Rattus norvegicus: one gene and its partners. The protein of the gene in region 1 interacts with the protein of each later gene in a pairwise test. Links are inferred from orthologs where the notes say so. Each region holds a gene or a part of one and is shown in the gene's direction. Other genes may lie near its edges.

Region 1 (6,410 bases):
GGATCAATAAGAAACATAAGCATATTAGGGAGGTAACTGAGGTTGAGAGCAAGGCAACAGCTTAGTAGGGGAAACCCTTATGGGGGCAATTAATATTTTAGCTGTAATTTGAAAGGAAGCTAGGGCTTAATTACCGAGTGGTTAAAATGGGGATGAATGTTTTAGGCTAAAGAATGCTATGAGTTAAGCATGTGAAACACAGCAATGTGTTTGCTGGACAGTATGCGGGACTTACCTGTCCTGTCCTAGCAATGGGTATATAATGATGAGGATGACAGTTCCAGTTTTTGGTCCACAGGTGTTTTAGTCATACTGTTCATTTGCTGAAGAGTGAGACACAGGAGACACCAAGTCCAAGGCTAGTTGGGGGCTGGCTGGCTTAGTGTCAAAGGTTTAGTTCATTATCATCTTAGTGGGAGCAGTAGCTGTTCTGCAGGCAGAGAGGGTGTGGGGAGGGCTTTAGAAAGTCACAGCCTAGCACCTCCAGTGACACACTTCCTCCATCCAGACTGCAGCTCCCGATTCTTCTAATCCTTTCGAATAGTGCCACTCCCTGGTGATGAAACATTCCAATATTTGAACCTATAGGGTGCATATTTATTCTAACTACCACAGCAGGTGTTGTAATATAGAAGTTAAACTAGTGAGTCTGGCAGTGAGAGGTATCAGACTAGTAGTTCTCAGGTTAGAGTGGAGCTTTTTTCTTCCAGTCCAAATCTTGAATCTTGGGGCTTCACAGCGTGCTAAGCAGGCAATTTATTACTTAGCCTTAGGAAAAGAGTGTGTGTGTGTGTGTGTGTGTGTGTGTGTGTGTGTGTGTGTAGGGTGTGTAGGGTGTGTGTCAGGCAGTTAGCTCTTACTGAGTTGTACAGTCTGGCAGAGTGTGTGTGTGTGTGTGTGTGTGTGTGTGTGTGTGTGTATAGGGTGTGTGTCAGGCAGTTAGCTCTTACTGAGTTGTACAGTCTGGCATTGGGTTTATGGTCTGTCTCTGTCTCCCAAGAAGGTGGGATTGCAGGTGTGCACTACATGCCTAGCCAGGATTTGTGTTTTCTCTTTCTGTTTCTCTTTTCTTCTTTTGACTGTACAGTGATTTCTTATACTTCTCCCTTCTTCCTTTTCTCCATTAACAAATCATCATTATTTAAAAGTGAGACTGTGGACGCTGCACACATGGTTGTCCTTTTATCTAACCTTCTGTATGCCTTTGAACTGTCAGTGGCTAAACTGTCATTGTCTCCTATATTTTCTGTGGAATGCTTTACTAGGAGAAGATATAATAAATGAGTGTATAATGTGTTTCGGATAACATCCTTTAAAAACAAGTACCTCAGGATTCAGGCAGGGAGTATTTGTGCTGAAACCTTGTACAGTGCGCTTCATACTGCTTTTTCTCCCTTGAGTTCTTTTAGTTCCAGATTCAAGGGTTAAGTAACTCGTTGTCTAGCTGCTTAGTATAACTGGAATCCTAATCCTGATCTCTGATTCCACATCCTCGTGCAAAAAGTTATCTGGAAAGTGTCTCTTTGATGACAGTTTATTAGCTGGTTGTAACCTTAGCATTTAGGAAGCTAATGCAGGGGTATTGTGGCGGGTCCAGCCAGCATGGGCTACAGAGTAAGACCTTGTTTCATCTTTTTATTTATATTTATGCATGTGAGTAAATGATAACTATTGATAGACACGAACATTTGCTTCCTTATGTGGGGATATAAGGAGTTGAGAAGCATTTTATAAAAATATTTTAGAGCAACGGTTTCAATCTGTAGGTCATGATCCCTTTGAAGGTTGAATGGCTCTTTCACTGGGGTTGCATATCGGATACCCTGCATATCAGATATTTACATTATGATTCAAAACAGTACCAAAATTATAGTTATGAAGTAGCAATGAAATAATGTTATGGTTGGGAATCAACAGCATGAAGAAGTGTATTAAAGGGTTCAACACTGCGAGGCTTGAGAGCCACTGCTCTAGAGAAGGTGAATGTGAAATAACAATGGCGAGTATAAATGCTAAGAAGGGTCAGGATTGTAGCAGTGCTGTAGAAAATAGGGTGCAGAAATAACTAAGGAAAAGTTTGGGGTAATGGCACATTTGGTAAGACTTGATTTAGTGTGCCTTTGTGATGAGAAGGCCTGAATTTTTAATGATTTGGAGTATCAAAAACTATATTTTATAATTGTCATTTCAAACTTTAAACATTCTTAAAAACTATGGGCATTGAGTCTTTTGATTTAAGTGGAAAAGTTTTTCAAAACTTTCCCACAATGATTGTATCTACCTTCTGAAACGTGTTCTCATCTTTCTTCTTCTTTTTTAGATTATCCTGCTCACCAGATGTCTTGAAAATTTTTCTTACAACATTGGCCATTGGTTTTCACTGCCTTCAAAAGATCAAAATTACTCCAGAAATTTGAAAGTTTGATTTAAAAGAAAAAACGTGAACAGATGGACAATATGTCTATTACAAATACACCGACAAGCAATGACGCCTGTCTGAGCATTGTACACAGTTTGATGTGCCACAGACAAGGTGGAGAGAGTGAGACATTTGCCAAAAGAGCAATTGAGAGTCTGGTAAAGAAGCTGAAAGAGAAGAAAGATGAACTGGATTCTTTAATAACAGCTATCACTACAAATGGAGCTCACCCCAGCAAGTGTGTCACCATACAGAGAACACTGGATGGACGACTGCAGGTTAGTCTGGAGTTCTGAACGTCTTCTGGGCTGGTAGAGTAATAGATACTTTTAAAATTTTCTCTTAAGTTACTACCAATTTAATGTGAGCTCCATCTTCATATATTTATTTCATATATTTAGAGATTTATTTTTGTTGCTTATGTGTGTTTGTGTGCACATGTGTACAGATACTGAAAGAGGCCAGAAGAGAGCATTCCCGGATGCTGCCTCAGAGCAGAGCCTCAGGCATTCTCAGTGCTGGGCTATCTCCCGAGCTCCATAGCTCTGTCTCGACATACTGTACATCTTTTGCCAGTGTGCCTGATGAGAGTATGTGGAAGAATACATAAAAGATAGATGTTATCTTTTTATGTTATTATTCAAAAATCATGCAGTGAAGAACAATTTTAAAAAATTAAATGAGAAACCCAATGTTGAAAGCGAACTTCCTGTATAGCACGTTGGCATTCATCTTATAGTTCACACTCGCCACCTGCCAACCCTTTTTGGTATTGTAAATATCCTAACTGATAACACTGGACTCTTGTCATTTAGGGATGTTAGACTATTTTCATTGGAGTGCAATACTCAGTGGTCACTTTTTTCAAGTGATATCATATGCGTGAGGAAGTTTGGAAATGTGAAGGTAGATTTTAGAATTTTATTTCTAGATTTTAGACATAATTTTTGACAATTTCACACTTTTGCATTTTAAAAACCTGAGTGCAGGCCTTGAAATTGAACTGTGGGAGTCCAATTCTTGCTGTAGTGAGATTCTGGAGAGGCTGTTTATTCTTTGTGGCTCAGCCTCCCGAGGGCTGAGATCACAGGTGTGTACTCCTATGTTTCAATTAGCTTGAACTTTGGATTTCTCGTCTTTGAAAGGATAGTCGCAGTCTGAAATTGGCCGCAGGGGTGGAATTGTGTGTGGGACTCACAAACCTGTTTTTCCTAGTATATGCTGAAGACATGACTTTAAAAGGCATGAAGATTTCTTTTATCTTGGTAAACAAGCCGGTCTTCAGGTAACGTCCTTGAGCATCCTCTAATTCAGTTCAGTTCTGACCCAGTCTACTTGGAGATGCCAATCATAATGGTCTGGTTGTTTTACCTGTGCTTCTGTCTGCTGTCAGGAGTTCCCACAGTCCCACCCACAGGCTCAAGTAATTTACTCAAGCATCTCCCATAACTGAGGAAACCATATTTACCATTATGAAGGCTATTGCAAGGGCTACAGATTGAGAGAGGCATAGGCAAGGTAAACCTCCATAGCCTCTCCAGGAGGACCAGCTTCCATAACCACGTGGTCAGCTATCCCAGGCTCTCAAACCCTGTTCTTTTGTTTCTTTTCTTTTTTTTTCTCTTGCAGGTTTAATTACCTAGACATAAATTAACATTGTTATCAGCTCTATATTACATTGTAACCTTTCCCTTCAGCAGAGGTTGGGGAGTGGGGGCTAAAGTTCTACCATGGTCTTTCCTGTGATTGTCCCCTTCTGATGATGCTTGGGAGCTCTAGACTTCAGTTGGCTTAGACCTCAGAAAGAAGAGACGACTTTTAGAAGCCTAGGATTTTAGTTGTATCCAAGGAAATTGGAACAAGGCCATGCGTGTGTTTCGCAGTGTCATGGATTCTCACTCTGTACAGTCCCTTGCATAACTTATACTTAATAAATTAATAATTGCTTCTTGTCCTAGGTGGCTGGTCGGAAAGGATTTCCTCATGTGATCTATGCCCGTCTGTGGAGGTGGCCTGATCTACACAAGAACGAACTAAAACATGTTAAATATTGTCAGTATGCATTTGACTTAAAATGTGATAGCGTCTGTGTGAACCCATATCACTATGAGCGGGTTGTCTCACCTGGAATTGGTAAGTGGACTGTCACTGCAGAACCGTCACAGATGTGTAAAGGGAAAAGACCCCAGTCATGTTAAGTTCTCGAAGTTAAAGCTTGTATTTGAGGACTACTCAAGACTTCAAATGAAGTTAAAGAATCAGAATTAAAATTCATTTTGAGACTGGGTTTCATGTCCCAGGCTGGCCAAGAGCTGGCCGTGTAGCCAAGGGTGACTCTTGCTCTTCTTCCTCCCAGTCTTGAGCACTGTCACAGAGACACGCGCCACCATGCCTGGCTCAGGAGTCAGATGTGTTAGATGATGTAAATGCTTAAATCTGAACAAGTTGTGGGGTTTTTTTACTTCTAAAACTGAGTATATAAAATTGATCCTTTACCTCTTTTGTACATTGTTGTTATAAATAAGATGAGAGACATATATATATATGTGTATGTGTATTTATATAAATAGAAATTTAGATACACATATAGTAAATGTTTGCTTCACTTTTTAAACTGAAATGGCCCATGAATTTTTATAATCTCTGGCTTAACTTGATGTTCTATAACTTAAAATGTAATGGAAGATATGTTCATGGTAATGATTTATGTTTCATTTTCTTTTCCTTAAAAAAAATTAAGATCTCTCTGGATTAACACTGCAGAGTAATGGTAAGTAACTAGATTCTTGTAACTTTTTCTCTTTTCTTTTAACATGTCTTATTTATTTCCTGTTCATAAGTGCTTTGTGTAGGAGTTAGTAACACTAAAAAGAAAAGAGTTGCTACACTGAACATGCAGATTTAGTAGGGAGGTATGTAGTAACATTGAAAATTGGACTTACTACATTATTTTATGCATTTGAGTGTTTTCCCTGCGTGTATGCCTGTGTATCGTATGTGTCGGCTGCCTGTGGAAGCCAGAAGGGGCATCAAAGCCCCAGTGAAACAAAAGGCTAAAGTGTTTTGAGATGAGAAAAGCCACTTGGTTTTAATTTGGGTGTTTTAGTATATATGAAAATGGAATTTTAAAAATGGCTTTATTAAGGAACTGAACCCTCTCAGTCCTAACTTACGGAGATGCTGCATCGTCATCGTAGAGCAGTGAACGTGGTCTCCCACAGTTTTACAGTTCTGGAAAGCCTGCCTGGCGTTAGGCTCTTCCTTCCAAGTGCCTGAAATAGAGGCATCCACTGTGTGGCTTACAGGTTTCTAGAACTGTGGTTGGTGGTAGTGGGAGCCCTGATTCTGGGGGTGATGGCTTTAAGGTTGCTGAAACCTCTTCCTCTGCTGGCTCAGGACATCTTGTGAATAAGTGCCTTGCAGGGTGTTACCATTCTCATCCATGCTCTTAGAATTAGGGTTTAGGAAACTCGTGATAATTTCACAATTTCAATATGGAGTGGCTGTGAGGGTTCCACATTAGTGGATCCCCCTAGTGGTAGTTCTGTAGACAGTCTTGCCTGCTTTAAATTGCTTAGAAAACAGATTTTTCACACATTTCATTTTTGAACTGGACAAAGAAATAATAGTAGGCTGGTTCATGAAAAGCTGAGAAAAATGAAACATTCCTTTCTTGTCAGCTGGGATTGTGTGGTCATCAGTTTTAGCAAGGGTCATCTCTTTCCTGAAACTGACCATACTGACCTATGTATTCATTTTACAAATATTGAGATTTTTTTTTTATTGCCTGCTGCTGTGCTAAGGGATATTAAGAAAAATGTGGCATGTTTCTTCTATTCAGAGTTCAGCACATTCCTCCCTTGGCTGTGTTATTTTGACTAATATACCAAGTGATTTGGAATGCTGCCAGCTTAGAATAGGGCCTGGAATAGGAGAAGTTCTTAACAGGTCCAGGCATCGTCTTATAGACTCAGGGGATGTCCCTTATGAT
Region 2 (5,658 bases), on another chromosome or scaffold:
TCAGATACACCAGAAGAGGGCATCGAATCTCTTTACAGATGGTTGTGAGCCACCATGTGGTTGCTGGGAATTGAACTCAGGACCTCTGGAAGAGCAGTCAGTGCTCTTAACCGCTGAGCCATCTCTCCAGCCCTGAATGTTAGGTTAAAGGCATGTGCCACCATGCCTAGCCATACAGACACCCTTGGGTCTTAATCTGGACTAGATGATGGGAAGTGAACACTTTGCCAAGGAGAATTAAATTCTCCTTGTGTGGCTACAATTTGTGTGGCTCTTAAATTTTTACCTGTAAAGTCAAACTAAAAGTCATGTAAGGCCCTAAGAGGCAGTAAATTAAATGGAAAGGTTATATAAGGGGAGTGTTTGCAGGTGTGCCTGAGAGGATGGGTTTGATTCCCAGAACCAGATAAACTAAACATGGTAAGTAGTATGTCCCTGTAATCCCAGCACTCAAGAGGCGAAGACATGATTAAGAAGTTCCAAGTCAACATAGTTTATGGCCAGCCTGCTCTACATGAAATTCCATCTAAGCAAACAGACAGGCAAACAAATAAATAAACAAACAAACAAATAAATAAATGGTTACATATGGAGATTAAGTAAGAGCAAGGTATAAAACTTGGGTTTTAAATTTAAAGTTGCCAAAACTTGGGTTTTGTCCTTCATAGTCTACAGGTAGAAGTGCCATAGAACCTCCAGTTTGACTTCTCATGATTTTTGATTTGTTCTTTGTTTTTGTTTGTTTGTTTGTTTTGGTAGGGTTTTGTTGTTGTTTGTTGTTTGAGACAGTCTTTTGATTGCACCTTAACAAGCCTGGAAGTTGCTGTGTAGACCAGGCTAGCCTCTAACTTAAGAATCTATCTCCCTCTGCCTCTTTCAAGTGCAGGAATTAAAGGTGTGCACCACCATGGTCTGTCATTCCTTGTGTTTAAATAGGAATCCAGAGGGTGTGGCATGTAAGACTTAAGTGCTGAATATTTAGAAAGATTTGCTTTTCCTTTTTGTTGTTCTTTTCTCTGAGGTTTTTTTTTTTTTTTCTTTCCACAGGATTAGATTTCTTTCCTTTCTTATCAGGAGACAATCAGGTATGTTAATGTGAAAATAACCTATTTCTTTAATTGTATATTAAACTAAAAGTATAATACATGGCCAGAAGAAAGAATAAATTTCCTTAGAAAATAGAGTGCATGTGCCCAGGGTTGCTCTGTCTTTAGGAATTTAAATAAAAGCCTCATTCATCACACCCCACCTTCAGTAAAGAATAAAGGCAGTGACTGCCTGTTTGTTTCTCAGTACTGTTGTATAAAGACACAGGGCGGTGAGCCATGTGACTGATATAGGAAAGTGTCCTGATGCCAGGGCATCATAGCTGCTGTAGCCTGTGATGCTAGTGCATTGCCAGGGGCACGTTGTGCGGTCTGTGAGTACTGGGTATTGATAGCAAAGATCTATTGACTTTCAGTTAGACAGTGCGCTGTCTTCTTCCTATTGTGTCCATTGCAGCTCTGACTGCTTCCCCTTCTCCATGCTTTACTCTAGCTCATGCTGCTTTATTCATCTCAGTCCGAAATGTAAAAATGAGTTGCTAAAAGGTCATGTATAATGACCTGGGTACAAAATTAGAAGTGATAAGGAATATGGAAGGAAACAATCAGGGATTGTCATCCACCAGTCAGGCTGTCCTATTGCACCAGAACTACAGACTCGAAAAGCAAGACCAAGTACAAGAAGTCTCCTTGGAAACAGTGAGAGAGCCACAGATTGAGAAAGACCTGCTTCAGCCATAGAAACGTGGCTAAGGATATGAACACAGAAGCTCCTCCCTCTTGGAACAGTAGCTGCCACTGTCAAAGCAGTGACCCAGCCACTGTCCAGAATGCCCTCCTGGGTTTCATGCCAGCAAGCTGGAGCCCTGATTGAAGTCGTGCATTGGTGATGGTGCTCACGTCTGTCCTCTTTCATGCCAGTGTCAGTGTGGTGGGCTTGTTCCAACAGCATGACTCTGACCCAACCAAGAGAAATAAGTCAAGGAGATTTTTTTTTAGAGTTTCATACATACTTTATTTATATTATTTCCATCCATCTCTTTCCCTCCTTCAGCTCCTCCTATGGCCCTGTATATACATTTTTAATTTTTTATTACTATTGCATGCACACTGTTGCTTGGTGTAACATAGCACGTGTTTGGAAGTCGAAGGACAGCTGTGTGGAGTCAGCCCTCCTCACCTCTGTGTGTACTCCACCCATTGAACTCAAGTACCTGGGCTACTATCTGCTGAGCCAGCATGCTAGGTGATCAAAGAGATTTAGTGGCGTTTGGGACCCACTGCCCAAGTAGGACCTTTGTCCAAGCTACACCGCCACAGGAACACTGAGAAGCATCAGCAGCCCCCCTCAGATGCTTGGGAACATGAACGTCAGAAAAGGGCATGTTTATGGTATGCTATTCACAAGTGCATCTCAGAGGAAAGGCACAAACCAAGCAAAGCACCACAGCATGTTTCTGAAGAATGACACCTGCTCAGGATGAGACCTAGTAGCTTGTCAGGGATCCAGAAGCAGGCATTGTCCCTGTCCTGAAAACCTTCCAGGAAACAAGATGTGCCTAATAGACTGGTTCTAACTCCTGCCTGACCTTTGTAGACCTGAGGGGGGGGGGGGTGTCTGTGTGATGTGTTTGTCTTTTTAGCAAAATATGTAACTATATCTCATAGGGTATAGATAGGAAGAAAGGAATTTTTGCATAGCCTTATAGTGTACTCATGCTTTAAGTGTTATTATAAAGAATAAAGCAGTCAGAAGCTAAAGATTTGTAGGTAGTTAATGGTTAATGGAGACATTTTCTTCAGTGGTATAGCCACTGCTAAGTTGTCTGTGCTCTGTAAGCAACACTGAATAAACTCATTGGGACACATCGTTCGAAGAGACTGTTGGAAAAAGGAAGGAGATCAGCCAGAGAGAGAGGGAACAAGAGGAAGTAGCAGAAGCAGTTAGGATCAAAAACATACACATGTGAAAGTGTTAGAGCTCATTGTGCTTAATTAGTAGGTTATAAATGTTTCAAAACAAAATAAAGTTGATATAGAACTGAGATAATTAAGGATAGTTAGGTTTGGGATTTAATTTTTCAATAAATGTAGAATGGCCTAAGCCTAGAGTGCTGGCAAAGCCACAGTAGCTCACAGATCTGTCCTCAGCCTTCCTTCGCAGTCACTCAGCAGCAGTCCTTGACTCAGAGAGACGTGCAAGCTCCACACACCTGACTCTGAGAGTGCCCCCTGCAGGCGGGACATCGCTTGGTTTTTACAGCAAGTTCTTCCTGCCCTTTCCAGCTCAGAGATGCTCATATGTGCCAACATTGTGCCCAGCAGAGCTGCAGCCAGGTCATGGGAGCAGCTGAGCATCTGTGATACAATTCTCAGGCTGAACTGACCACTGGAAATGCGGGATCTATCCTTTCTACTGCTTCTGAACATGTCAGAAATAGAGGGTTAAGACCCGCATGCAATACAAACCAAAACATACACATGCGCACACACAATCAGAAGTGTTATTCCAGTTTCAGATACCATGCCAGAGCTCTCTGCTCTCAGTAGTCGTGACCAGCCATTCACCACAGAGTGTGTTGTCACTTGAGAAGCCAGACACTCGGGATATGCTAACCTGGGCCTTGCTTTGCTGAGAAGAGTACACAGAGGTGCATCTGATTGTAACAGAGTGTTTTGTCTCTGGTCCCTCCTAGCATTACAACACCTCCCTGCTTGCCGCAGCGGCAGCTGCGGTCTCAGATGACCAGGACCTCCTGCACTCCTCCCGATTTTTCCCGTATACCTCCTCGCAGATGTTTCTCGATCAGCTAAGTGCAGGAGGGAGCACTTCTCTGCCAGCCACCAATGGAAGCAGTAGTGGCAGCAACAGCAGCCTTGTGTCTTCCAACAGTCTGAGGGAGAGCCATGGCCATGGTGTGGCCAGCAGGAGCAGCGCAGACACGGCATCCATCTTTGGCATCATACCAGACATTATCTCGTTGGACTGACGCCCTCACCCTGCTGCTCCCACCCCATCCCAGATTAAATGACTTGGCAGAAGAGAACTCTATGCTCTGTTTTACCTTATCCTGTTTAGAAAAGTATACAGCGTGTTTTTTTTTTCCTTTTTTTTAGGGAAAAAAAATTAAAAGAAATGTACAGAGAACAAAACTATATTTTCAGTTTTACTTTTGTATATAAATCTAAGACTGCCTGTCTGATAAAACACTTGTTAAAAAAAAAAAGAAAAAGAAAAGAAAAAAACAAGCACCCACAAACCTTCAGTTCATTTTTTCTGGATTCTGAAGACTTTTCACCATTTGTCCTATGGTTTGGGTTTTATTTTACTTCAATGGCATTATCTTTCTTGCAATAATGGAAACAGTTGCATGTATGAGGTTAAATCGTTGGCTTTGTTGTGGGGAAGGGGTTGGGATAGCTTTGATTTCCATTTTTAAAAGTGACAGACTTGGATTCTGTTTGTGTGTGTGTGTGGGTTTTGCCAGCCTTAAGTTATGAAACTCGTCTATCTCACTGCTTCCCCTTTGTTTTCAGAACAGAGCTCGTGTGTGTGTGTGTGTGTGTGTGTGTGTGTGTGTGTGTGTGTGTGTGCGCATGCTCTCGTGTGCTGTGCACCTGTGTGTACTGTTCTGTCATCACTGTCCCCTCCTCCTCAGTTTGCATTTGCTTAATATCAGTTCCTACTTCTTTCAAAATGTTTCCGAGGTCTTGAACTCTTGTGTGAGCATCTTTCTCAACTCTCCCCAGGTGCATGTTCTCCATCACAGATCCCCTGTGATCTGCTGTCTACCCTCTACGAGTGTGTTTCCCAGAAGTGCTGGAGTAAAAGCTGCCTGGATAAGCAATCTGTGGGCAGGCCCTCGAATGACAATACACTTTGGTTGACTCTAAATCTGAATTGCCAGTGGTCCATATGTAAGCCAAGGCTGTGAGCACCTGCATTTTGGCCATAGGGTAACAAGTTTTCCTTGAGGATCTTCATACCGAAATGGGATCTGAAAGAACCCTCGTAGCCCCGTGGGGTGTGGAGTGCCATTTGCAGCTGGCAGAGGACGTTCCATTCCATCGAAAGAAAAGGAAGGAAGGAAAGAAGTCAGTTACTCTAAAGTTAACAGTTCAGCACATGTGGATTCATAGCAAATCTATTTGATAAACAGTTGAAACTCAAAAATAACCTTAGTTATTTTGTTTTTGAGGCTCTGAGTATACTTTTTATTCTTAGCTGTGTTCTTTTTTTCCTTCACTTTTTAGTGGCAAGCATGACATAGGAAGCCTTTTTTTTTTTTTTAATTGAAGAATCGATTGGTCTTACCTAATCTCAATAGCAGAATATGTAAATATATTAAAATGTTTTCGAGATGATTAAGGGTCAAAGGAAGGAACAAGTGCTTCTCATACTTGAGCAGAGAAGAAAGCATGCTCTTACAGTGGAGAATAGATGACGCGTGGCTAATGGGGGGTGCGGGCCTAACTGCAGAGAGCCAAGGCATGCCACCACCAGGTCCTGCAACTGGCTTTTTAGATTACACCCTCGTGTTTTCAGAGTTGGTGAAGGACCAGCTTTGTGTATAGTAAACTTGTTTTCAAGCCTTGCATCAGTACAGAAGGA
Region 3 (5,658 bases), on another chromosome or scaffold:
GAAGCGTTCTTCGAGCGCGCCGTTTGCTCTTGTTTTTCAGTCTGCTCCATCCGGTCACAAGCATCTGACGGTGGAAGAATTATTTGGAACCTCCTTGCCAAAGGAGCAGCCAGCACCTATGGGCCTAGAGTCAGAAGACACGGACAAGCTGCTGGGAGATGCACCACAGAAAGAGCCCAGCTCATTCCTCCCGTTTCCCTTTGAGCAGTCAGGGGGAGCCCCTCAGGCTGAAAACCTGGGTGTCCATTCTGTCACTCACCACACAGTCCAGCCTGAAGTCAGCGCCCCTGTGCTGATCACTCCCGCCTCCATTGCACAGTCGGGCGACAAGCATCCCCCAAGCTACACTCTCCCACTGAGCCCTGTCCTCAGCCCCACTCTGCCAGCTGAAGCTCCCACCACACAAGTTCCCCACTTACCTCGGAATAGCACCATGATGCAAGCAGTAAGGACCACACCTAGGCAGAAATCTCCACTCCTGAACCAGCCCGTCCCTGAGCTAAGCCACAGCAGTCTGATTGCTAGCCAGAGCCCCTTCAGAGCCCCAGTGAGCCTGGCAAACACAGCTGGCACGGCCATCCCAAGCTCTGATCTGCTCCAGAAACTCAGGTTGACCCCACAGCATGACCAAATACAGGCACAGCCACTTGGAAAAGGTGCGATGGCACCCAACTTTTCTTCGGCAGCTGGCCAGCTGGCCACCCCTGAGAGCTTCATAGAGCCTTCCTCTAAGACAGCAGCAGCAAGAGCAGCAGTCGCAGCCTCCCTGAGCAACATGGTGCTTGCTCCAACCCTCCAGGTAAGACAGGAGCAGGAGGGGGAAGAGAAACGAGAAGGAGGGGGGATCCCTGTCCATCCTTACCTCTCTATGGTCTGAAACTGAACTTGGTGTGTATTCTTATACACACGTGTGCATTCTTGTACACATGTGTGCATGCATAAATGATTTTCCAGGTTTTGTAGTAACTCAGATTTGCTGTGTAAACAAACCTGGAGGAGTTAGCATTGGAAGAGGAATACATTGTAAGTTAAGGAGTGTGACTTGTTGTTAATGTCAGAAACAGGAGTCAGGCCACCCATTCCAGAGCAAGCTGTCAATCACTTGGGCCTGAGCATTAGGGGCCTGGGTTGAGCACTGTGGACAAGTGGATTTTTAAAATGTTGTGTCAGTGAGGCTTCATGGTAGGTTGTACAGAGGTAAAGCAGAGGTTTGCCTGTCAAAGTCACTCATCAGCAGCAGATTTACCAGCGAGAAAATGAGCTGAGTTGTTGTGATCATCGCATGGTCACAGCCTGAAGGGAGTGTGCCGCTCCATGACTGCTGCCTGCTGCTTGCCTGCCTGCCTGCCTGCCAGCATTTGGATCTGACACGTGAAAGGAGCGAGCATTCTGCTCAGTGACAGGGCTCTGTGCTGTGTGTAGGTGTCACTCGATCCTCTCCTTTGCTCTCATAGACTACAAAAAGGGCACGGAAGAGAGTTTAGGTTTCTGATTGTAGGGGGAAAGGGTCTGTCCCAACTCGCAGTTAATCTGGACGCTCAGGCGATGGTCTGCACCTGTCGTCTTCACATTCAGCCCCAGAAGACAGCACCACACTCTTGCAGGCTGCTTGGCAGGAACCACTTACATACATGTGAATACCCATTTAGATGGCAGGAACCACTTACATACATGTGAATACCCATTTAGATGGCAGTAGCCAAAGTTTAAGATTTTGTTCTTGCCTGGTATAGTGCACTGCACACACGCCTATGTTTCAGTAGAAATCTGTGATTTCAAGTCTACATAGCAAGCTCCAAGCCAGCCAAGGCTGTCCTGTATCAAAACAGAAAGACCTGGTCTGCATGGAGCTCTCATGTTTACTGTGCTGCACTAATGCTTTCCCAAGGCCATGAGAGTGCACACCTGTAAAACCATTGCCAAGAAAGCTGAGGCACAAGGGTCTCAAGTTAGAGACCGGCTGAACAACCCTGGTCTCAAAACAAAACACCAGGACGTTCTCTGCCCCTACAGTGTACTTAGGATGCAGGCTATTCAGTGCCACTAACCAGGGTCAGAGGACCTCTGAGAACTTGGGACTGTGGACAATGGCAGTAGAGCAACTTGCCTGTCATACGCGAGGCTCTGAGTTCAGCTTCCAGCACTGCAGAAAACGTTTAAATCATTTATATCGTGCACATTCTGTGTGCAGCAGCCGCTTGTGAAGCCAAGACAGGAAGATTGCAAACTCAGGTGCGTCTCAACCTCTAGACTGAAACAAACTCCAGGGCCGAGGATAGGGCTCACTAGTAGAGTTGGCCCTGAGTTCAGTCCCCATCACACTTCTTAGAGTCACCTGACAGGCTCTGTCCACACATCCCTCGGGGACTCCACAGGAGCTGCTGTCCAGGGCCCTCGTTGTGGAGATGAGTCACTGGGAGCATTACCAACAAGTTCCTGGGTAATAACACTGCTCTGTCGCCGACAACTAACTGAAGCTTGCTGTATCTGTTCATCCTTTTCCCCCTTTAAACATTTCAGTCTATGCAGCAAAACCAGGATCCTGAAGTATTTGCCCAGCCTAAGGTGTTACCCAGTGCCATCCCGGTAAGTAAGTAAGTGTGTGTGGTGTGTGTGTGTGTGTGTGTGTGTGTGTGTGTGTGTGTGTGTGTGTGTGTGTGTGTGTGTGTGTGTGTGTGGTGTGTGTGTGTGTGTGAAGACATAGCAAGCACTCACCCCACTCAGCCATTTCCCCAGCCCTGGGACATCCTCCCCCCACCCCTGGAGAGCACATTGAACAGTTGTGGGATCTTCTGGTGTAAGGTGGGCTCTTACCACCTTAGTGAAAAGCTGTAGCATTCCAGCTCTGTCCTGTCTCAGATGCCCTTTTAGGACAGAGTTGCTGTGGCCTGAAACCTTGTGTTAACTCTGTATAGACGTCTTGACTGTATAGAGGGCGGGTCAGCCACTGGGTGGGCCGTGTGGATCATTTGTAAGTGGGTGGGTGCTGGGCCGTATATCAACCTGGTCTCTATAAGAGGTACTCCTGGAAAATGAAGCATCCCAGGAGACAGCCACTGTCCTGCCACAGTCCCTTACTTGTGATGACAAAGCCTCCTCACCTGTGTACGTCCCTCCTCCTCTCATAAGCACCTGCCTTGTTTTGTTATCCACCCCTCCATTCACCTGCCAACCTGAAAGACTCAGTTCTCCCACGGCACTCACTCACCTGCTTATGAGCCTGTCCCCTCTCCTCTCCTCTCCTCTCCTGGATTTTCAGAGGTTACCTTCTGTCTGCTTTAAGTTAGCCTGTCCTGTTGTGTGGTCATCAGCAGAAGCAACTAACCCAGTTTTATACCAGAAAGCAAGCCAAGGGGCTGGAGGGCTGGCTCTGCACCTGCTGAGCGGTACCGATGCTCCTGCCTGAGGATCCAACACCCTCTTCTGCCTTCTGTGGGCAACACACACTCTCTCTCTCTCTCTCTCTCTCTCTCTCTCTCTCTCTCTCTCTCTCTCACTCACACACACACACACACACACACACACACATACACTCTCTCTTTCTCACATGTACTGTCTCTCATACTCTTTCACACACACTCTCTCACACACTCTCTTTCTCTCTCTCTCACACTCTCTCTCTCACATGTACTCTCTCTCACACACACTCTCACACATTCTCTCTCTCTCTCTCTCTCCCCTCCCTCCCTCCCTCCTTCCCTCCCTCCCTCCATGAGCATACATGCAGCCAAAGCACTCATACACATAAGGTCTTAAGGGCAGGGGCAGGCAGGCCGAGTGGCTCAGATAACAGAAATGACTATTATTCTGTGTCCCACAGATCGCAGGCCCTCCATTGGTTACTGCAACAACCACAGCAGTATCTTCAGTCCTGCTGTCCCCCAGTGTGTTCCAGCAAACAGTTCCCAGGTCTGCAGACCTAGAAAGGAAAGCCAGCTGCCCCTCCCCCCTCACTATTGGAGCAGAAAATCAGAGGAAGCCTTCCATTATTCTCAGCAGGTCTCAGCTCCAGGACACACTGATACATCTAATAAAGGTATGTCAGGTGTCTGCTTAGTTTTTAATTTCACGCTTGACAAGGCTTAGTGTATATTGGTGCAAATTCAGAAACCTGCCTGGCAGCAGCCTCCTTTCCCAGGTATATCCTCCTGGAAAATGGAATGGTGGATGTAAGTGTGACTGTCTCGGGGGCAGGTTATTTGGGGAATTAGTCAGTTCTGTGTGTTCCTAAGTGGTTACCTTAGAGGCGAGTTCTGAGGAAGTAACAGGCAGTGTGTCCTTCCCGTCTCTTCCAGAATGACTCCGGCTTTCTCAGCACGCTTCATGAAGTTTACTTGCAGGTTCTGACCAAGAGCAAAGACAACCACAGCCTATGACTGCAGTGGATGCAGTGCGCAGGGACAGGGTCCACCTCCAGACAAGCAGGCTTCCTCACGCACGTCTGAGGAGAACATGGAGCTTCGAGGAGCCTGAGGGCCTCGTCCTTAGGGATGTTTCTAGAGACGTTCTCAGTGATGATGGAGGTTTCACTGTGAAGCATCACCAGCAAACCTTTGTTTGACAAAAACAGCAAGAGACCATTGTGTTGAGTTCCGTGGGCGTTTTCATCAGCTGTAAGCCCGTGTGTGGAATGAGGGCCTGGCTGTCAGCTGCTCTCCAGGCCTGGGAGGAGCCACCAGCCTCAGTGAAGCCCACGCCCTCCCTCCTCTACCCCTAGAAGCTCTGAACTCAATGTCAGCTCGCAGAGTAGCTTCAAGATTTAAGGATCAGGATTTAAGTCGACTCTTTGGAAGGTATTTGTTCAAGTGAAGTCTATTTTCTATGAGCACCCGCTTGGGCCTTAAGACTTCTGGGATGTCTTTGTGTTCCGGGAGGTGTCCCTGGCCTGCCCTGCCCTGCGCAGACTCCGTGAAGCACAGCTCTTTGGGTGGGGCCCGCAGGGCTCTGGTCGGTGGAGAGGAGGCTTCACACCGTTGAAGCAGAGGCCGGGGCACACAGATCCAGATCCTACCAGAAGGCTCCATTCTAGTGAACTCTCAGCAGTTTAGTGTCACGTTTGTGCGTGAAGCGCAGCCTTATTTCCTTCTCCGTCTAAACACAGTTGAAGTTGTTGTTGATTGTTTTCCTTAACTGCTGGCAAAGGACCAGTGGACCAATCTGACAAAGCCATTCTGGTTCCATTCCTCAGATGTGCTGAGAGCAGTTTTAAAGCTATGCAGAAAAGGGAGCTGTCCCCACACTGCCCTTCCTTCGTTGTAGAATATGGAGTCAAGCAAGTGTGAGACCCAGACCTCACAGTGTGTTCCTAGGCTGCGCCCTCCGGCCGCAGTGCAGAACTGTAGAAATGCTTTGTGATGCTGCTATCGATCTGCCATGGTTTCTATTTATTCTTTTATGGCATGTAATGGTGTTTGGTAATATTTTAATGTAGAATTTGATTATTTCAGCAATAGTAATTTTGAGATATTCTTTGAATGAAAAGTGTCTTCGTTTCTATGATACAGGTCATTTTCTAGTATTTAACCAATTAAGATGCACTGCTTACTTTTCTGAGCACTATTTAATGATGGGTAAGAACCCTGTTGGCTCAACCAGCTAGCGTAAGGACTCGCTGTGAATAATGCTGGCAGGCACGGTGGTCCCACCGGACAGTTGCTT
Region 4 (5,658 bases), on another chromosome or scaffold:
TAGTTCCATGATAGGATGCTTGCCTAACATGTATGTGAGGTTCTGGGTTCTACACTCAACACTACAGAACAAAAATCTCACTTAACATGAGCATGTCAACTCAAAATTGTTAAGGCTTTTTTGTGAAATACATTTTTAATGGTTTTTACCAGTTTAGATGGGAAAATATGGTCTTTGTATATAATTTTAGGATCTCCTTTGAGTGTTTGAGAAGAAAGGATTGTGTTAGTGCTACAAAAAGTACTTTAGATTCAAAAAGTTGAGCTAGGTATGCTAGCAAAGGCCTTCAGTTCTAGTACTTGGGAGGCAGAGGCAGGCTGATCCCAAGTGAGTGCAAAGCCAGCCTGAGCTACACAGCACGTTCCAGGCCACCCAGGGCTACATAGTGAGATCCTGCATCAAAGAAGCAGGTTGTGGTACATGGCTGTAATCCCAGAAATCTGACATTTGAGGTGGAAGGCATTGCAAGCAAGTCTGGGCAATTTAATGATACGTCTCTGTCTCTCTTCCTCTTAAGTTTGGCTAGTCCTAAGTGTAAACTAAATTAAGTAGTCTTGGTTCAAGATAGGTTTTAAATATTAACGCTCTTTTTTGTTTTTTGTTAATGTTGGGGGTTTTCAGTGTGGGTGGGTGGGTTTTTTTGTTGGGGGAGGTTGTTTATTTGTTTGGGTTTTTATAAGACAGGGTTTCTCTGTGTAGCCTTAGCTGTTCTAGACCTCTGTAACCCACGCTGGCCTCAAACTAGAGATCTTTTTGTTTTTGTGTATTGTTTTTTAACTAGGTTCTCCTTTGTAGTTTAGTCTGTTGGAAATTGTGATCTGAGAATGTTGAGATCACAGGCATGCACCCAATCAGAAAATCCTTTTTAAACTTTTGTGAGAATTGGATGTGAATCCTGGCATCTGGGCTCAGCCTTTTAGTGCATTATTTACTGTGCCTGTTGACTGTAAAGAAGGCAAAGAGTCCAGTACCAGGGTTGTCCTTTTACCTCCCTTTCTGGAACATTTTATTTCCTGTTTTATTTTTTAATTAGTTGAAAAAAATGTGTCTATAATCACTAAAAAACCATCCCTGTCTTTCTTACTCACACCAGGGCAGAAAGAAGCCTGCTCTCCATGGCAATGTGTTTTAGTGGTTTTTGTTTTTTTTTTTTTTTTTGTTTGTTTGTTTTTTTTTTTTTTTTTTAAGACTATTCTTTCTTGAGGTAGAGAATGTAGCTTAGTTGGTAGAGTGCTTGCCTGGTATTTATGGGGTCCTGCACCACATAAACTAGGTATGGTGTGACCAGTATTCTCAAGGCTGGAGGCTTGAAACAGGAATCAAAAGTTGAAGGTTATCTTCTGCTACGTAAGGGATTTGAGGCCAGCCTTGGCTACATGAGACCCCTGTCAAAACAACAGTAAACACACTTCACTTTTCTCATAAATATATTTTGAAAACAGAAATGGTGCTTTAGATTTTAAATATTTTGGGGTCAATGAGATGGCTCAGCAGATAAAGGCACTTGATTGCCAAACTTGATGACCAGAATCCAACTCCCACAACTTGTCCTATGCTTCCACACACATGCCATGATGAGCTCCCATGTACACACACGTAATACAAAATAAATACATGTAATAAAAACAATTTAAACACTCTTTTGTTGCTACTTTTGCAGCTACTTTGTTGCTGCAAGAAAAATATAGGAATTCAGTTTTGTGGTGCTTCAGAGTTGGACCGTTTCCAAGTTGTTTTGGTGATAAATGCACAGGTATGGCTCTGGCAGGGCGGGCAGAGAATCTTACCCAGGTCTCTTTTGTTGTAGGTTATACCACTCCAACTGCCCCCCAGGCGTACAGCCAGCCTGTCCAAGGATATGGCACTGGGGCTTATGACACCACCACTGCTACCGTCACCACAACGCAGGCCTCTTATGCAGCTCAGTCTGCATACGGCACCCAGCCTGCCTACCCAGCCTATGGCCAGCAGCCAGCAGCCACTGCACCCACAAGGTAAGGCCACAGTTGTTGGTTCCTCTGCTGCTCAGCTTTGGTGATTTAAATTGCTCTTCACGTTCACTAGGTATTGACTGTTACCCCAGTGTTTCCAGAGTGCCTGAGCACAGCACACAGGTATTACCCCAGTGTTTCCAGAGTGCCTGAGCACAGCACACAGGTATTCTGTTGAGGGCTAGAAATGGAAAGTGTCATCTGCCAGGTTTCAGAACTACTTTTGGGGGAAGGAGGTAGCTGTTTTTCTTTCCTAAACACAAGGAAACTTGAGTACATGTTTCCCATATTGTTTAACTAGCAATAGAACTTAATCTTTGGCTCAGTGACGCTGTAAATTGTTAACTGCTTTCCTTTAGGAAATATGTGGTAGTTGTAGTACATGGTGGAACGGTTAGACTTGAGTCAAGAAGTACTGTATGTCCCAATTTTGTCAGTAAAGGATATTTCCATATCTGGGAAGGTTCAGTTGAAGAATTTGACAAGATTTCCTCAATATATGTAGTGATTAGTGGTTTGATAACCAAAAGTCATAGACAAATAAATTTATAGCTGGTTAGCCAGTTATGTGCTAAATATTAAGAGTCCAATAAAGTACTCTGACTGCTCAGTAGATAAGTGAGATATATTACTTAACAGAAGGTTTCAGGTCTTTACTTTAGACAATGCATGTAGGTGGCTTCTGCATACAGTCTTGAAGGAGCACAAGATTCTGATTTGAAAGAAGACTATAGGGAATAAACAAGAGATCACCTTGTAACCTAGACTTTTTATCTGCTATAGAGGTAAGAAATTAGCTCTGGCAAACACTCTCAAAATTACTTCTAAAGTGCAGTGAGTAGTCAGAGCCACTTGTAGCTAATATCCAAAAAACCCCGTATAGTACTTTTATTTAACTGGCTGATTCCTAAAGGCCCCACTCTAGTTGGGTTAAATATTGGAGAATTTTGTTAGATATACAAAGTCCCATGTGATGCTCTTCTGCAGTAGTGTGTATCTAGGCCACAGATCTCCATCGTGTATAAATTGGTTTTGATAAGTCACTGATTTGTGTCACCCTTTCCTCCATCCTAGTTTTCTGAGCTGACACCTGCTTGTAACCCATTTCATCTCAGTGAGGAAACAGTACTTCTGCATCTGCTGTAGTCCACCTGCTGATCGGGGCTTTGCTTTAAGTAGCCCCCTAGCTTAGCTCTGCCACTGCCTTCCACTAAATTGTTTGTGCCACAAGGAAGTGGGACTTCTGAGTTATTTCTGTGTTGTTGAGAATTATTTTTATTATTTAATGATGGTATTTGCTAGTTAGTCTGAGCATGGGGTGGACTCATCCCCATGCCCATTTTGTGGAGATTGTCGTATAGCAAGGTTAAGTTCATTTACATCAGACCAAGATAAGAAGTGTCTCTTCTTGTTTGTTTCTAGTCAGTGAACCCACAGATATCAAAATCTATAAATTAGTGACCTTAAAATAACTCTAAACTTGAATTTGCACTAAGTCCACTCTTTTTTTCTTTTTTCTTTTCTTTTTTTCGGAGCTGAGGACTGAACCCAGGGCCTTGAGCTTACTAGGCAAGCGCTCTACCACTGAGTTAAATCCCCAACCCTGTTAAGTTCACTTTTTTAAAAAAGTGTTTTCTTCCTCCCCCTCCCAGTACTTGTTCATATTGGCGACACAGGCTTATGAAGTCTCTTAGTAGCTGTTAATACAGAACAAATTTTAAAAACAAAAACATTGTTAACTCTCTTAGTGTTTTCTTCCAGCAAATACTAATGAATGATACTGGGTTTCATTTACTTTATTTTCAAGCTTGGTCTTATCATTTCCTATTGCTCAAAGAACTGGGGGGTTCTTACCTAGGGGGTGTCTGGGTTGTTAAAATTAAACCTTAACTGTTTTATTTTTCCTTTTAGACCACAGGATGGTAACAAGCCTGCTGAGACTAGTCAACCTCAATCTAGCACAGGGGGTTATAATCAACCCAGCCTAGGATATGGACAGAGTAACTACAGTTATCCCCAGGTTCCTGGGAGCTACCCGATGCAGCCAGTCACCGCACCTCCATCTTATCCTCCTACCAGGTCAGTCTCACTTTTGTGGCCAGTGAATTAGTAATAATGCGACAGGTATTTTCAGGTTATTGACTAGCTAGCATTGGCGTCCTTGGGTAAGATTTGTTTTCTGACTTGCCCATATTTGACCACAAACGTAGTTAATATTTAGACCTCAGCATTGGGTTCCATAGCAGTGCCTGGGATCTAGCTAATAACTGTTCTCTAAATAATGACCCCAAAACGTCAGTTAACTGAAAGTATGGGGCTGGAGAGATGGCTCAGCAGTTAAGAGCACTGATTGTTTTTTCAGAGGTCCTGAGTTCAATTCCCAGCAACCACATGGTGGCTCATAACCATCTATAATGGGATCTGATGCCCTCTTCTGGTGTGTCTGAAGACAAGGACAGTATACTTATATATCATTAAATCTTTTTTTTTTTTTTTTTTTTTTGGTTTTTTTTCGGAGCTGGGGACTGAACCCAGGGCCTTGCGCTTCCTAGGTAAGCGCTCTACCACTGAGCTAAATCCCCAGCCCCCATTAAATCTTTTTTTAAAAAAAGTATGAGAGACAAATGTTTGACACCACCTACACAGAACTGTAGCAATTATCCCCTCAACACAGGCACCATGGGTAAAGTTAAGGACAAGACTTCCTGCTGCCGTTTGTAGTGCTGGAGAGGGAATCTGGGGTCTTGTTCATGGCTGGAAAGGTACTTCTGAAGGACTCCAGCTGAAGTTTCCTTGTCCTTCATTTTCTGTCCTAATCATTGTAGCTATATTGTCCAATTTTAGTTTCTTTAAGGAAAACTACAAGTTTTCTGACCTGTGAATTGAAAGAATTGTTTTAATTGGCTAAGATATAATAAATAGTTCCTGTTTGTATCTGTCTTAGTCAGGGTTTCTATTCCTGCATAAAACATCAGGACCAAGAAGCAAGCTGGAAAGGAAAGGATTCATTCAACTTAGACTTTCACATTTCTGTTCTTCACCCAAGGAAGTCAGGACTGGAACTCACACACAGCAGGAACCTGGAGGCAGGAGCTGATGCAGAGGCCATAAGAGGGGTGCTGCTTACTAGATTACTTCCCCTTACTTGCTCAGCCTGCTTTCTTAGAGAACAGTGGACTGAGCCCTCCCCCCTTGATCACTAGTTGAGAAAATGCCTTACAGGTGGATCTCAGGAGGCATTTCCTCAAGGGAGGCTCCTTTCTCTGATAACTCCAGCTTGTGTCAAAACCAGCCAGGACAGTGTCCCTTTCATAGGTTGACACTTGGATACAAGTAGGAGCAGAGGTGGCAGGGTTTATAACTGTTCCCTAGCAGAGCAGGTCCCACCTGTTGGGAGGGACAGCTGATGTGACAAAATGAATTGGTACACATAGACAATTTTTTAAGATTTTATTTATATGAATGCACTGTAGCTGTCTTCAGACACACCAGAAGAGAGCATACAGGTTGTAGGCCACCATGTGGTTACTGATAATTGAACTCAGGACCTCTAGAAGAGGAGTCAGTGCTCTTTACTGCTGAGGCATCTCTCCAGCCCCCTAGACTGAATTTTGACAGATGTGGAGAGGTGCGAAAAGTACTTAGTTTAGTTGAGCATATTTACAGG
Region 5 (5,282 bases), on another chromosome or scaffold:
GTGCCGCCTACAAGCCCCAGTGCTTATGGCTGTGTGTATGTGTCAGTGAGCCACGTCCCCGGCCCTAGAACCTAGATTTGAACAGCTGTGACCTTCATTAATCTTACTGAAATTTGAAAAGTAGCCCCATTGGTTGAGCATTTTACTGTACTGTTTACCCCTGTAATCCTATGGGGATCAGTAGTAGTGTTTTCACTTTGGCAGAAAAAAAGGAGGGGACGAAAATACAAGGTTGTGTGTCACGAAGGTATCGGCGGTTGGTTGCCCCGTGTCCTCGCCCACCACCGCCAGAGCCGGTCAGATCAGGGCGGCCTCCGCAACGGCCTTGCTTCAGGTCTAGCTGTTCTGAGGTGCATGACAAATTTCTGTTGTTGTAGCTACAAAAGTATGTTTTGCTTTCTTCAAGGAAAACAATAAACTAGACTAATTCCCCAGTTTATAATCCACCACAGCTTTTGAAAGCTTTTACTCTTAGAGCTTAAACTGTTTTGCTACAGGCGTAGACTTTTAATTTTATTTTAATGCAGTTAAAACTCCTTGTAAAGACATTCTCAAACATTTGAAGGGAAGAGAGTGTAGTTCCTGTATATCACCGTTTCAACAGGTTTCAGCTCTTGGCAGTTTGTCTCTATCCCTTGATCCCTATAGTACATGCTACATTTCTTGGTTTCCTTTGAGGCAGGGCTCTCCCTGTAGCTCAGACTGGGGCAAACTCTTGGTCCTCTTGCCTCAGTTTCCCAAAAGTTGGCATACCACAGGATCCCTGTCTATGTAGACACATTTGGTTCTTTTAAGTAAATACCTAGTGGTGTATTTCTAGTCTAAAACTTCACCAGCTGCACTGACAAAACCAACACAAAACAACACAAACCCTTGACTGGTTGTAAGTAACGTGGGAGTAGTCAAAAAGCATACGTAATTTATGTATTCAGAGTACAGCTGGCCATATACACTCTGAGCAAACCCATTCAACTCCTGTTCTTTCCTAAGCCCATGGTTTCAGTCAGTTTCTCTTAGCTTTGGCTAGCTGTATAGTTTTAATGAGTTGATTAAGTCACTTCAGGAAGAGATAATTACAGGAAATACAACAGCTCTCGGTGTGATACTACTCCCTTAACCTTGGGCTTCTATGAGCATGGTTTTGTCTGTTAACTGGTGAGTGTGTGTGCCTCTCCACAACTGTATGTATAATTTCTTTTCTACGAGAAATAGTGCCTTTGAGCAAACCATCCCCTTTGGAATCGTCACTATATGATTTCAGCTCCTTCCAGCTTCATTTTAACATGCGCAGTCCTCCTTGTTCTTTGAGTAGCTTCTCTTACAGTAGGATTGTATTTTGCATGCTCTCTTATTAGTAGGTTTTCTTCTGGGTTTTGAACTCTAGCTGAACGATAATTCCTTAGGGGCGATCACACTTAAGCTGTAACTTGGCACTTTTTTCTTTAAGACTGTAGAATATTTTGACTTTTAGACAGCTTAACTATATTAAGGCGTTGGAATCTAAAAGCATGTTACATTATTGAACTGTCCCATAATTCAGCATTGTATTAACTATCCATACAATTAGTACTGTATTGCTTTGCTTTGCTTGGGTGCTATAGTGCCTCACACAGTAGGGATAGCACTCGGCTGCATGCCCACCCTATGTTTTGTTCAGGAGTGTTGGTTAAAGGACAACGTGTGACTCCAGAAAGTCAATGAGTATCGTGTCCCACTTAGGTTCACTGTGTGTCCTGACTCTTACTGCTTTGAAAACTGTTATCAGTATCATCTGAGAACAGCTGTGGGCGCAGTGTTTTCAGTAACTGGTGCTGTGCGGGGTTAGGTCACCAGGGCTCTCCAGGGTCAGCTCCATGCTTCTGAATCACTGGTCGTAGCCTCCTCTTCTAGATCTTTCTGTCTTTTATGTCAAAGAAAGTGTTGGAACTTATTGTTGTTGGCTAACTTCCTGCTTCCTCTGCCACTGTTGCTCATGCTTCCCCTGGTACAGGGTGGAGAGCATTTGGCCGTTTTGCATCTATAAGTCTGTCCCCTGTCTTTCATAGTATCCCCTTTTCATCCGGACCCGCCAGACCGCAGTGCTATTCAGCGTCATCCAGACACGTGCTGCTGTCTTTATATGACAGTAGTTGTAGAGCGGTGTGATTGCATGTACCCGTTTATATGCTACACATAAGCGTATGTGCTTTCCTAAAATGAGAATCTACAGCAGAGGTTAAAGTGTAATTATTTGTTAGACATAGTTGTATCAACATCTCTTCCATGATAGTCCATTAGGAAGGGATTTCTGTTTCCCAAGGAGAACATAATGTTTGTGCTTTAGGAGGTCTAGTTGAGAAAGTTTAGCGTCATTGTCGGGGCAATGGTAGTGGTATTGGTGTTGTAGTTGTGAGGTTGTTAGTTAAGCTCTGTGTTCACTGAGGATCTTCTGAACCTGTTCTGTAATCACCAGAGACCAATCCACCTCTTCTTTCCTCAGGAGCCCCCACGCCCTCTGCATCCAGCGCCCTTACCAGAAGCCCCGCAGCCACAGCGCCTGCCCCCAGAAGCTGCCAACACTTCTCTGCCTCAGAAACCACACTTGAAGTTAGCGCGAGTGCAGAGTCAGAATGGCATTGTCCTGTCCTGGAGCGTCCTGGAAGTGGACCGGAGCTGTGCCACCGTGGACAGTTACCATCTGTACGCCTACCACGAGGAGCCCAGTGCCACTGCGCCCTCACAGTGGAAGAAGATCGGCGAAGTCAAAGCCCTCCCCTTGCCGATGGCTTGTACTCTCACGCAGTTTGTGTCTGGCAGCAAGTATTACTTTGCCGTGCGCGCCAAGGACATTTATGGCCGTTTTGGGCCTTTCTGTGACCCTCAGTCCACGGACGTGATCTCTTCGTCCCAGAGCAGTTAGACCTTGGAGCTCTTTAGCTTTCACTTTTGAAGGTTTCACATTTGGGCTTGTTTTTAATCTTGTGCATGAAATTCAATGTAAAAATCCATCTTGTGCAAGATCTCCCGGACAGATGACTGTATACACTACGTTTGTTTATGAACCGGAAGCAAAATAAATTCAGCCCATAAAGCAAGTCTTCCCCTGAACAGTTCAAACTTCGGGGTTTTGAAATGTATATTTATTCCTTGCTTTGGTTTTGAGGCTGGGGAATATGTATGGGTGTTTGTGTGTTTTCTTCCTTTCTTTGAAATTTTAAATTTCTAGTTGTATGTATATCACAGTGCGATCTCCTGTTTTCCTCTCAAATTTACCTCTCTTCCAGTAGGAAGTGTATTGGTGAGCGAATCTGAGGTGCAGAGCTGGTGTGATTCTGCCTCGAGGGGAGGCTAAGATCAAAGAATCTAAATAAAACCCAAAGAAAGAAATAAAGGAAAATATTCAGCTTAAAGTAGATGGATTTGAGCAGGGGATACTCCCTGTGTTTGCTTTGCTTTCTCAGTTGCTGACAAGGTGAACAGTGTCCTGCCCTCACCTGAGTTCCTGGCTTCTCCTTTTGTGTTCGTGCCTTAACTGCAGAAGTCTACAGGCCATGTGTCCATTATTGTAAATTCCTCTTTAAGCTTTCATTAGTTCATTGCCACCAAAATCCCGCACCCTTTTAAGTGTTTGAGAAGCAAGATGTGGACACGTGTGTGTGCACGCATTCTCCATGACGTCACTGTCCTCAGCTCCACAGTTCTGACTCATGTTTTAAGAACATATTTCTATCTTTGCCCATCATTTAACTGCCCATCTTAAATTGCCATAGTGTTTAGGAACAAATTTCCTTAAGGCTGTTTTAGCATCCATGTTATATTAGGGAATCCGAAGGAAGTTCTGGTTCATCTCAGCACTCAGCACTCACGGGGTGGTGTCCTTTCATGTCAGAATTCATGAAAGACTAGAAAAGCTCAGTTTCCTCTTGATTCTCAGGAGGTCCCTACTGCTTTAGTCAGAACTGTTTTGATGGTGCCAAGTGGAGTCTGATTTAATCTGGTTTCAGTAGAGCCTAAATGCTACCATTGGGGTCATTCCATACTTGGGGTAGATCTGCTCGCTTTACTGTTTCTCCTTCAATACATTAATAGACTCAGGCTCAGCCTTGCATTTCCAAGGCATGGCAGCTGCAGGGAGTCAGGCAGGTGCCTTCGAGACCTGAGGGGAGCACGAGCATTAGGGACAAGTGAGGCGTTTGTGGAGGCTGAAGGCACTTTTGAGCTGTCTTTCCTTACGGTATTTCAAGTCCTATTTCTACCTTCACAAGCTGCATCAGCCATTCACTTGTCCTGGTATTAAAAGCAGGAGCCCTGTTCCCTCTGTGTATTCTCTGATGGCTTACAGAAGGAATCGTTATGAAAAAAGTGTGTCTGTCATCTTTATGAAGGAAGCCTGCAGTTGCCAAAGTGTAAATGCTTCTAACCTTCCATTCTGAGAAAAAGGATAACCACAGCAGAATCCTTTTCCCACAAGTTCAGCTTGGCAAGCAATCATGTCACTAGGACTGCCAAGATTCACAATCATGGGAAACTGTTGCCAGTGTTATGGTAATAAGGCTTTGGGAAGGAAGAAATGATTTCCTAATTGCTGTGAGCATGTCTCTGTACTGAGGGTGTCTGTCTTACGGATGCAGTGTTGGTCTGGTCACCATCATTCCTGTTTAGTACAAAACGCGTATTCAGAATGTTTTTCCCTGGCTGGTCTGCTCACTGGCGAATGAGAGTCTCTGGATAATATGTTTGTTTCTATTAAGTAATTATTTTGTATTTACGAGTTCTTCTTTAAAAAGTTTTCATAGTGTTACATAATCACGTGAAGAAAGCCCAGTGGGTGTTTTTTTTTTTTTTGTCAAAGGAAAAAAAAGTCCCAAATAATGGCTCTAGATGTGACTTACTTACTTCAGAAAGTAATTACTGTAAACTGTTTATTCCAGATTGGAAGAAGGTATAGACAGAGAGTGTAATCGTGGGCCGTCTCCTCAGATGACTGTCATGATGCTTTTCTTTGGGCAGCAGTCATGTTGAGTTTCCCGAATATGCTCAACCTGTGAGTGGCAAAATGTAGGTGCTGACGGGTATCGGCTTTTTATCTGGCTGTTGGTGAGGGAGAGTGGAGGACTTTTTACTTCCTGGTGTCTTTTCTCAAAAGTATTATAAACAAGCTCAGTTGTCCCCTTTCTGGGGGTTCCGGTTTGCTACATTTTTAGCCTGACAATACTGGTAAGTAAGTATTGACTTACTGGGAATCCTGGAGACTTCTGAAAGTTCTAGATGAGGCATCAGTCAGTAGTAACCAGTGGTAACAG

Evidence for each region.
Region 2: the proteins of Smad4 (region 1) and Pias1 interact in a two-hybrid assay, tested with the Homo sapiens proteins (2 studies listed by BioGRID and IntAct). The link is inferred for Rattus norvegicus from reciprocal best matches to the Homo sapiens genes SMAD4 and PIAS1.
Region 3: the proteins of Smad4 (region 1) and Dcp1a interact in binary tests that used the Homo sapiens proteins (3 or more experiments, as listed by UniProt). The link is inferred for Rattus norvegicus from reciprocal best matches to the Homo sapiens genes SMAD4 and DCP1A.
Region 4: the proteins of Smad4 (region 1) and Ewsr1 interact in binary tests that used the Homo sapiens proteins (3 or more experiments, as listed by UniProt). The link is inferred for Rattus norvegicus from reciprocal best matches to the Homo sapiens genes SMAD4 and EWSR1.
Region 5: the proteins of Smad4 (region 1) and Atf7ip interact in a two-hybrid assay, tested with the Homo sapiens proteins (2 studies listed by BioGRID and IntAct). The link is inferred for Rattus norvegicus from reciprocal best matches to the Homo sapiens genes SMAD4 and ATF7IP.

The regions. Positions count from the first base shown.
Region 1 is NC_086036.1:69,545,595-69,552,004, reverse strand, and holds the start of Smad4 (mothers against decapentaplegic homolog 4), read left to right. Parts: upstream 1-2,320; 5' UTR 2,321-2,448; coding exon 2,449-2,697; intron 2,698-4,377; coding exon 4,378-4,552; intron 4,553-5,159; coding exon 5,160-5,189; intron 5,190-6,410. UniProt on the Homo sapiens protein: In muscle physiology, plays a central role in the balance between atrophy and hypertrophy. When recruited by MSTN, promotes atrophy response via phosphorylated SMAD2/4.
Region 2 is NC_086026.1:72,235,616-72,241,273, reverse strand, and holds part of Pias1 (E3 SUMO-protein ligase PIAS1), read left to right. Parts: intron 1-1,047; coding exon 1,048-1,085; intron 1,086-3,742; coding exon 3,743-4,036; 3' UTR 4,037-4,796; coding exon of another isoform or gene 4,797-4,934; 3' UTR 4,935-5,658. UniProt on the Homo sapiens protein: Functions as an E3-type small ubiquitin-like modifier (SUMO) ligase, stabilizing the interaction between UBE2I and the substrate, and as a SUMO-tethering factor. Catalyzes sumoylation of various proteins, such as CEBPB, MRE11, MTA1, PTK2 and PML.
Region 3 is NC_086034.1:5,700,479-5,706,136, forward strand, and holds part of Dcp1a (mRNA-decapping enzyme 1A), read left to right. Parts: intron 1-40; coding exon 41-799; intron 800-2,520; coding exon 2,521-2,586; intron 2,587-3,820; coding exon 3,821-4,036; intron 4,037-4,295; coding exon 4,296-4,376; 3' UTR 4,377-5,658. UniProt on the Homo sapiens protein: Necessary for the degradation of mRNAs, both in normal mRNA turnover and in nonsense-mediated mRNA decay. Removes the 7-methyl guanine cap structure from mRNA molecules, yielding a 5'-phosphorylated mRNA fragment and 7m-GDP.
Region 4 is NC_086032.1:84,193,096-84,198,753, reverse strand, and holds part of Ewsr1 (RNA-binding protein EWS), read left to right. Parts: intron 1-1,807; coding exon 1,808-1,994; exon of another isoform or gene 1,995-2,114; intron 2,115-2,157; exon of another isoform or gene 2,158-3,902; coding exon 3,903-4,070; intron 4,071-5,658. UniProt on the Homo sapiens protein: Binds to ssRNA containing the consensus sequence 5'-AGGUAA-3'. Might normally function as a transcriptional repressor. EWS-fusion-proteins (EFPS) may play a role in the tumorigenic process.
Region 5 is NC_086022.1:171,196,248-171,201,529, forward strand, and holds part of Atf7ip (activating transcription factor 7-interacting protein 1), read left to right. Parts: intron 1-2,479; coding exon 2,480-2,899; 3' UTR 2,900-5,282. UniProt on the Homo sapiens protein: Recruiter that couples transcriptional factors to general transcription apparatus and thereby modulates transcription regulation and chromatin formation. Can both act as an activator or a repressor depending on the context.